Linked DNA regions of Nothobranchius furzeri. The protein of the gene in region 1 purifies or fractionates together with the protein of each later gene. This does not show direct contact. Links are inferred from orthologs where the notes say so. Each region holds a gene or a part of one and is shown on either strand. Other genes may lie near its edges. The genes, in order: map2k2a and ksr1a.

Region 1 (4,555 bases):
AAATTGACATTCTTTTAATTTGTTGCTTGACGTAGGTTTTGTTTTTTTCCTGAGTGGATCTTCTAAACTTCCAATAACCTTGTGGTTGGAGATGAGGTGGTTTGGGTTGCTGCTGTGGAACTGAGCCAGACACGTTTGGAGGTGAAACAGCTGAGAATCTGGTCTTTTAGTGGCATCTTCTCTTCTAATGATGCATAAGGTAGCACGGACAGAGGCTTATCCATGATGTACATGTTTTGTGTTGTTTTTTATGTTCATATAAAGACAATAAAATTTAAATAATATTTTATTAAGCCTTGAATTGCCTCCAGTTGTTCTTACAGGCAAATGGACATTAAGAAGCTGAGAGCAGCACCACTGGACTCTGATGTCTCTGAGGACTGGTTCAGGGGTGGATTGTCATGTCCTCTACCAAACGCTCAGATATCGGGACGCATTTTGATGCCTGTTGAGGATGAAACTGTAAAATTTGAAATGAACGTAATCTAACAGCTGTTATTGATGTGTTGAATTAAAACCGGTTCTTAAATATGCCTCTGGTCTTTAATTTTGGAATTTTTGTTCTTGAGTGACACGATTTAACGAGGGCAGATTCAGCCAATTATATCTCTGCCCTTTACAGGTGATCTCAATCAGATTAACAGTCAAAATAAATGTATTTTGTCAGCATTTGTAATTCCTGAACATTTCAAATTTTATACTTGGTGAGTAGTAGTGTAGTGGCATATTATGTTGATCTATCCAGACAGATATATAAAATTATGCACTATTGACAACTATCCAATTCCTCAGTCAGTTTTTAAGTCACTTCTCGGTCACATTGCAGTGTGATATTGAGATTTGATTCAACCAAATGCAGTTCAGTGCACAACAAGTGACTCAAAGAAATTACCCTAGCCAATTTAACGGGATTTTCTGTCACAGCAACGTGTCTTTTCTCTGTAATTTAAATGTATAGGATGCCAGTTTAGAAAAATGGTTGAACTGGAAAACTAGAATCATCAGAAGGAAAAAATGCCTACATGACCTACTATATTTTTGTTCGCTTCATTTGCGCAGGAATTGTGCCTGGTCGTCTTGATCGAGCCATAAAATGAAAAGTACAATTTGACTTCCCCTTGTGTCCAGTAGGGGGCAATAATGCACCTTTCCGCGTGGTTCGGAAACGACTGATGGAGAGTTTTATTTAAACAGTCATTGTTTCACGTAATTTAATTTAAAACTACACTAAAATCTTCTAACAATCTACAAATGTGCCCCAATTTACATCTTCACTTGTTCTCGCGTGAACTCGTCACTCTGTTTCTGTCTCGCGGTATTTAAGCAGAAGCAGCAGGGCTCTCCCCTGTGGGGTTTCTCACAGGCTGCTGCTTCCTGTAAGAAGGCACCAGCGGACAGCACCGCGGCTCTGGAGCGTTTCAGACCCTCTGCACACCTCTTAAAACACAAGGGGACAATTTAGACAAGTCCGCCGGCTCGGTCTATCCGAGCTGTTTGCCTTCTACGCACTTCGAGACGAGGACCGCTGCATATTTACGGCTGAGAGGCGCATATTTTCACTGGAGCTAGCAGTGGCTATGTGGCTAATGGCTAGTAGCAGCAGGTAGAAAACCCGACAAGGAGCTGAATACAGAACACCTGTCACTACACAATCCTATAGATGAACCGACAAAGCTATCCGACGTTTGAAGGGCACATCGGCATGCTGGGTTTTAGCAAACAAGCTAAGTGACATGCTCCAAAAAGTGTATAATCTCTGCTTACGGTAACTAGCCACTTAGAGCGGTTCCTGTTGCTTTTTCGAACGGACTCTCGAGCACGGGCGAGGTCGGATTAGCCCAGTTTACTCAAATCTAGTGTTTTACAGAGAGGGAGTTCTTAGTTTAGGGGATTTAGAAATGGCTCCTAAAAGAAGACCCGTGCCTCTCAACATTACGCCCATTGGGGAGGGACAGGCCACCTCTAACACCATTGATGCTGCATCAGAGTAAGTACCGACGGTAAACTGTCATTGTGTTTTGTTGGTGTGTTAATATACACGTTCTGTGTAAAAGTTTTTAAAGTAACACACAATCAGTGAACTGATTTCTGCTTGGTTGCCTAAAGCTGCTGTAGGACAGCTCCAGATGTCGGATAAGACCTGCACATCAGGATAAAAATAAAATTCCCTATTTTTTTTTATTCATCTTTAATGCTTGTCTTTTCTTATCAGAGCCAACCTGGAGGCTCTGCAGAAGAAGCTGGGTGAACTGGACCTCGATGAGCAGCAAAGAAAACGTCTAGAAGCTTTCCTCACCCAGAAAGCCCAGGTCGGGGAGCTGAAGGATGAAGATTTTGACCCGATTTGTGAGTTGGGTGCTGGAAACGGAGGAGTGGTCAACAAGGTTCGCCACAAACCCTCGGGTTTGGTCATGGCTCGAAAGGTGATCATCTGCCTTTGGGTGTTTCTCTGCAGCTGAAGTGGGACGATCGGAAGGAGATGAAGCCAGCGAGATTAGGCATGCCAGCGTTTTGCTTGTATGCTTTTGTGACATTTGCCTCTTAGCTTTGATGTGGTCGTTGTTTCGCTCCTTTTGGTGCTGCGTTTCTTTACCCGAGTAACATCGGAGTGCAGCCTTTCTTGGTTTTACAGTGCAGTTTTGAAACATCGCAACCCTCGTTTGCAGCTCTACACATGGTTGTGACCAGAGAATTCTAGTCCTTCACCAAAATTAAACTCCGTTTAACTCTGACATTAAATGTGAACATTTACATGGGAACCACTTATTTCATATAAATCCTCAGTGACACTTCTGTAAGAGGAGTGTTGGGAAAAATACAAAGGTCATGTGTGAGGGCATTTACTGGCAGTTCAAACACACAGATTTGTCATAACAGGTGGGTTTTTTGTTTTTGTATTTTTTTTAACCCTGTTTCTAGTTTATTGCAAGTCTTGACATTTTGCCTAACACAAAACCTAAACGGCCTTCCTAAACTAAAAAAAACTTCCAAACCTGCTGGAACAATCCAGTATATGTTTGCAGACCCTCTCAGAAATTCTGCAGCAACTCAAACTTGTCCATATGCGTGTGCAGACGTGTCCACTGATGTTTCCTCAAAGCGTTCAGAGATTGAATGATGTAACTTAAATGCATGTCTCTCATTGGTTGCTTTGAAGTGTGCATGCAGATTGTCCCACTTGTCATTTTGTCCCTGATCGATGCGTTTGTACGGAAATTGATGGTTTCACCATTTCCTTCTCAGTTAATCCACCTGGAGATCAAGCCTGCCATCAGAAACCAGATAATCCGAGAGCTGCAGGTGCTGCATGAATGCAACTCTCCCTACATCGTGGGCTTCTATGGAGCCTTTTACAGTGATGGAGAGATCAGCATCTGCATGGAGCACATGGTGAGAGAGACTGACTGTCTCTAAAGCTTTCTTCAGACATTAAGTATGAAACATTAATGGCTTCATTAACTTAATGGTGATTTTTAGATTTCCTTAGCGTCAAGAGTTTTTTTCATTGCTTCATACTATACCAGTGCAACAAATCCTGTTAATCTGCTAAGTGTAGCAAAGATTGCATCACTTTTCATCTTCTTTAAGCGTATTCTGTTTAAATTTCCTTCTGCATTTTAAATCAAATCAACAAACATGTTTTCCTTTTCTTCAGTATCTTATCAGTGCTGATTTTGAGATGATGCAACACTCACTACTGAGTTTTCACAACATATTTAGCAGTAAACATTCACATCAAGTTAACACTTCATGCTAAACTAACGGATAACAAACAGAAATGTTTTGCATTATTCATAAAAGTGGTCAAAGAGGTAAGAAGCTGCTCAGCTTTTGGCTCAATCGCTGTAAATTATAAAATGGTGTCGTGTCTAATCATCGTCTGGGGCTAATCATTAAGTGTAAAAGTTAAAGGTCTGTAATTTGGGCCGTGTTTTTGTTTACTTTTATTAATCATTTGTTAAATAGCCCACAGCTACTGTGCTTAACTGTTCTTTAGTGTGTGACTTCTGTTGTTCAGGTTTGGTTTGCTGAAAGGGATTTTGGACCAAACCAAATCTGACCCGTGTTTTCAGATCTGACACGGGCACATGCAGTCATGATGTGTTTAACAACAGGTGGCGCACACAGGAGCTGGGTTCTGTTGATGTGACTTGTTAATAAAGTTTAATCTTTATAAAGTAAACTTTTGTCTGTACAGGATGGTGGGTCTTTGGACCAGGTTCTCAAGGAAGCCAGAAGAATTCCTGAAGAAATACTTGGAAAAGTTAGCATAGCTGTGAGTTGACTTGTTTGTTCAGCTTTAATCTTTTCATCCATTGAATTTCGATAGCTGTTTTACTTTGGCGAGGTTTAGCTACACATTCTTGTGGTTTGTTGGTGTACAGTCTGCTTGTTGCTGCCTGCTCACTGTTCCTCGAGTCCTTTTCTAGTCTTGCTTGACTAGAGCTGTCCAGTCATGCTTTAGTAACACACGGTGGGATTCACAGTTCTTTCTGACTTTTAGCTCTTGCATTAATTTTAAATTTTACTAGTAGACTTGCTGCCCTATAGAACA
Region 2 (3,815 bases), on another chromosome or scaffold:
CAGACAGCACAGAGTTATTTTAGATCAATAGATGCTTTCTATCTTCTCTGTAAATAAAGAGATCAATCCATTTTAATACGTGACTGATCCGGTTCAGGGCTGAAGAAAGCCAAACTCACCACTACGGTCAGTTCAGAATGTCCAGCTGAGCTAGCGTGCATGCTTGCTAACGTGCCATGAACCCAAGTAGACTTAAAACCACTCAAAAGAAGAGAACAAGAAAACAGGAAGTGTTTGTGATCAAAAGTTCAAACCCAGACCACACGTGGACGGGTCTCTAGCGTAAAGCTACCAGGGTGATGGGCCGCATTTGAGCTGAGTGGACTTAGAGCATCAGTGACATGTAGAGATAAATGAGAAAACCAAATACCTTTACAATCTCCTGGGCGATTTGTCGTGTTTTATTGATGTCCAAATTGTGCTTGCTGTCCCGTACCACTGAATACAGCGTCCTCCCTTTACAGAAGCTGCGGGGAAATTATTTTAAAAAGGTTAAATAGACCAAAACTGTTATTTGTGTTTAAATAATGCCCAAGGTGGTGTTCGTCCTGTACCTGGTAATGATGGCTAGGTGCGGGGGGGCCATGCAGGCCCCCATGAACAGGACCACATTCTCATGCCTGGTCTGCCTGTAGTTCATCACTTCCTTTTTAAAAAGCTTCAGATGGTCCTGATTGTTCCCGTCAATCTCCAGCAGTCTGATGGCGACCTCGCCATGCCACCGACCCTTGTGCACTCTGCCCCAGCGACCCTGAAAACAGAAAAAGTGTGAAACGGCGCCTCCTCGCGTGTCAAAGCTGAGATTTGTCCAATTCCTCACTTTTCCAATGAGCTCTCCGAGGTCCAGCTGCTCAAAGGGAATGTCCCACTCCTGCAGGTAGACGCTGGTCTGACTGGGCTTACGGGAGATGGGGCCCTTCCACTGGTTCCTCCTGGAGCAGGGAAGATCGTCCAGCTCGTCGCACTCACCATCCGAGCCCACATTCATCCTCATCTGCTCCCTCTCCTCCTCATCCTCCCCTTCATCATCGTCCTCTGCCTCGTCTCCTTGATCATCGTCTTCATCTTCGACGTCTTCCTCACCTTCCTGCAACCATGCCGTGAAGGTTTGTAGAGCTTGCACTACCACTGGTACAGCAGAGCCGCTTCTAGACCTAGAACTCATTACCTCCTCATCCTCATCTTCATCTTCAACCAGCTGGGTATGAATGTCATCTGCACACTGCTGCATCTCGCTGCTGGGAAACAGGAAATGAGGTAAAAACCAGGTCAAACGAAACATTTCCTCATTTGATTTAAACTTTGCCGCATCAGAATCTTACACCGTGTCTTCGATGACATCAGAGCACAAACTTGAAGGACTGGAAACGTCTAGAGAAAAGGAAAACACCATTTAGGAAACAATGACACATCCAGAACATAAAAGCCTCCTGCAACTTCTCACTACGTCCAGCAGATGGTGCCAAAAACACAGTAAGGAGACGCGGGACTCATGCGTGAAGATGGGAAAGCTGCAGGGTGCTATGATGGAGCAACAAGAACTCAGCGTGTCACTCTGGAAGGGTCAACTCACCGGGGAAGATAAACTGCTGTCTATGCTGAAAGTAACACGCAGCTTTTGGACAAATAAGAGGAGGAGGACAGATCAGCAAGGCAGACAGAGGTTTGGTTAGTCAAGCTGCTGAATAAAAGGCTGCAGTGAAAGAACAGATTAGGGTCAAAGTGCTTGTGAGGCATCCTCAACACTAAACAGGTCCGCTGTCGTGGACGACAGACTCACCTGGGAAGTTGAAGCGGCTGTCTCTGTGGCCTTTGGGTGAAGGGTTGGGCGGTGGCGTGGCACTGGGGGGGTTGCTCTGCTGGAAGGGTGCTGGGGAGGAGGGTGTGGAGGACGTGGTGGAGGAAGGATTGCTGCTGGAGTCCAGCTGGTTCATTACAGGAGGGTGATCCTGGCGAGAGCAGAGCCGGTTTGTTACTAGCTTAGAAATCTAGACAAAAGCAGGTCTCCCATTGGCTCGGCTTAGTTTAGACCAGGCCAATCACAGCGCGCTGCGTTGGTAGAGAGATGGTGGGCTTAGTGTCATTATGGCAGAACTGTGACGGAGCAAAACAACAATGTTGGCGGCGGCTCAAGAACGGCTATGGCCTCAACTTTGGACTTTTGGACTTGGGCTTTTTTTGTTTTTGATACATGAGCCGATAGAGCTACTTCGTCTTTGTCTACGTCTTTGACGGTGTAGGCGGCCTGCCCCGTTGAATGATTTCCAGTTATGTCACATTCACAAACTAATCGAATCTTTCGAACGGCTCTTTGAAGTGAACAATGAGAACCAAGCTCTTGTAGAGGCGAGAGAACGCTTCAGTTTGTTCCAAAGAGCCAGTCTTTGGGACGGCCCTTTGAGGTAAACGGCTCTCGAATGAACGTCTCCCTTCAAAGAGTCATGAGTCCCATCGCTACAGATTTCCATTGCAATGAATACTTCCTGTTGTCTGATGCTTTGATCGGTCCCAGCACTGCGGAGACGGTTCGTATATTACGCTCCACGAGGGAGGTCTGTCTATGGGTCATGGCCAGACTATATATTTACATATATAGGATAGCTGGCCAGGTTAGTTTGTAACTAGAAACACAGTTTATGGTTTTAAACAGCTTCGAAAAGCCAAAAATAAATCAAACAACATCATTTTTCAGCCTCACAAACAAGCTGAAGTTGGACTTTTACCTTTTTTGTGATGGCCTTTGGTAGCGTACCAAACTGCGGTGCTTCTTGTGGTCGGTCCACAGGGTTGTTTATATCAGAGGGAACGGACTCTGTTCTTCTGATTTTGGCAACTACACACAGACATTAGTAAGATCACACCATGTTTGTGCACATCGTCTCCAGAAGTAAATAAATATAAACCTACTTGGTAGAAAGGAGATTCTGCAGGACGGAGCCTCCTTTGTGCATTTATTATGGCACTTTAACCTGCACAGAGAGGGAGGAAACACATGAGGAGCCTGGTAGCACTTAGCCGTTAGCTCCGGTAGCACTCAGAGTCGCATCAAGATTAAGTGGCGTCATCAGGAGCATGTACGATGGGCCAGGATTAGAGGCTTACTGAGGTAACGCTGGGTTCAACTGAGGGTTTTCAGTGTTTTCAAACAGGTCCACTCCTTATGGGGCTGCGTCACCATAGCAACTAATGTTGGACGCTTAACCCGCTACGTTCAGGTAAGATTGTAGGTATTGTTTCTGGTGAAAACACGCAGGTGCAGTTAATTGTTCTAAATCAGAGAGAAATCTGTCAAAATTAAGAGTTTTTAGTTAAAAACCACCGAGCTGAACTGAGCAGCCTCTAGCATTACAGTACGTTAACATCGTTATAAAATGTCTCATTAAAAGGTTTATAAATCACTGGAATCTCAAATAAAACTCTAACAGTAACGTACTACAATTAATTTAGTTAAATCCTGGTGCAAAGAGCTTGTTACCAAATATAGTGAGTCATGTGATGGAAAACTACTCAACTACAACTTTCTAATCAATCAGTCTTTATTTATAAAGTGCTTTTCACACAAGGACTGTAACTGGAAGTGTTTTACAGATTAAAGGTGACCCAATAGAAAACCTCGGCTGATGCAGAGTTAATTTTATTCACCAACAATCACAGACTTCTCCATTAAAACTACACTGAGTCCGTTTTTCTGATCCCAGCCAGTCTAGTTGGTTTTCATCTGTTTCTTTAGATCTTCTTAGTTTTATTATTATTATTATTATTATTATTATTGGCCGTAGAAATCAAACACCACATTTCGTTGCACAGGCATAGCA

What was found.
Region 2: the proteins of map2k2a (region 1) and ksr1a purify together in Homo sapiens (affinity purification with mass spectrometry; 4 studies listed by BioGRID and IntAct, with this or other methods). This does not show direct contact. The link is inferred for Nothobranchius furzeri from reciprocal best matches to the Homo sapiens genes MAP2K2 and KSR1.

The regions. Positions count from the first base shown.
Region 1 is NC_091748.1:51,292,627-51,297,181, reverse strand, and holds the start of map2k2a (dual specificity mitogen-activated protein kinase kinase 2a), read left to right. Parts: upstream 1-1,673; 5' UTR 1,674-1,898; coding exon 1,899-1,987; intron 1,988-2,212; coding exon 2,213-2,423; intron 2,424-3,243; coding exon 3,244-3,390; intron 3,391-4,198; coding exon 4,199-4,276; intron 4,277-4,555. UniProt on the Homo sapiens protein: Catalyzes the concomitant phosphorylation of a threonine and a tyrosine residue in a Thr-Glu-Tyr sequence located in MAP kinases. Activates the ERK1 and ERK2 MAP kinases.
Region 2 is NC_091750.1:49,805,352-49,809,166, forward strand, and holds part of ksr1a (kinase suppressor of Ras 1), read right to left. Parts: intron 2,970-3,815; coding exon 2,908-2,969; intron 2,834-2,907; coding exon 2,724-2,833; intron 1,950-2,723; coding exon 1,781-1,949; intron 1,616-1,780; coding exon 1,574-1,615; intron 1,372-1,573; coding exon 1,323-1,371; intron 1,239-1,322; coding exon 1,169-1,238; intron 1,088-1,168; coding exon 821-1,087; intron 752-820; coding exon 555-751; intron 468-554; coding exon 371-467; intron 1-370.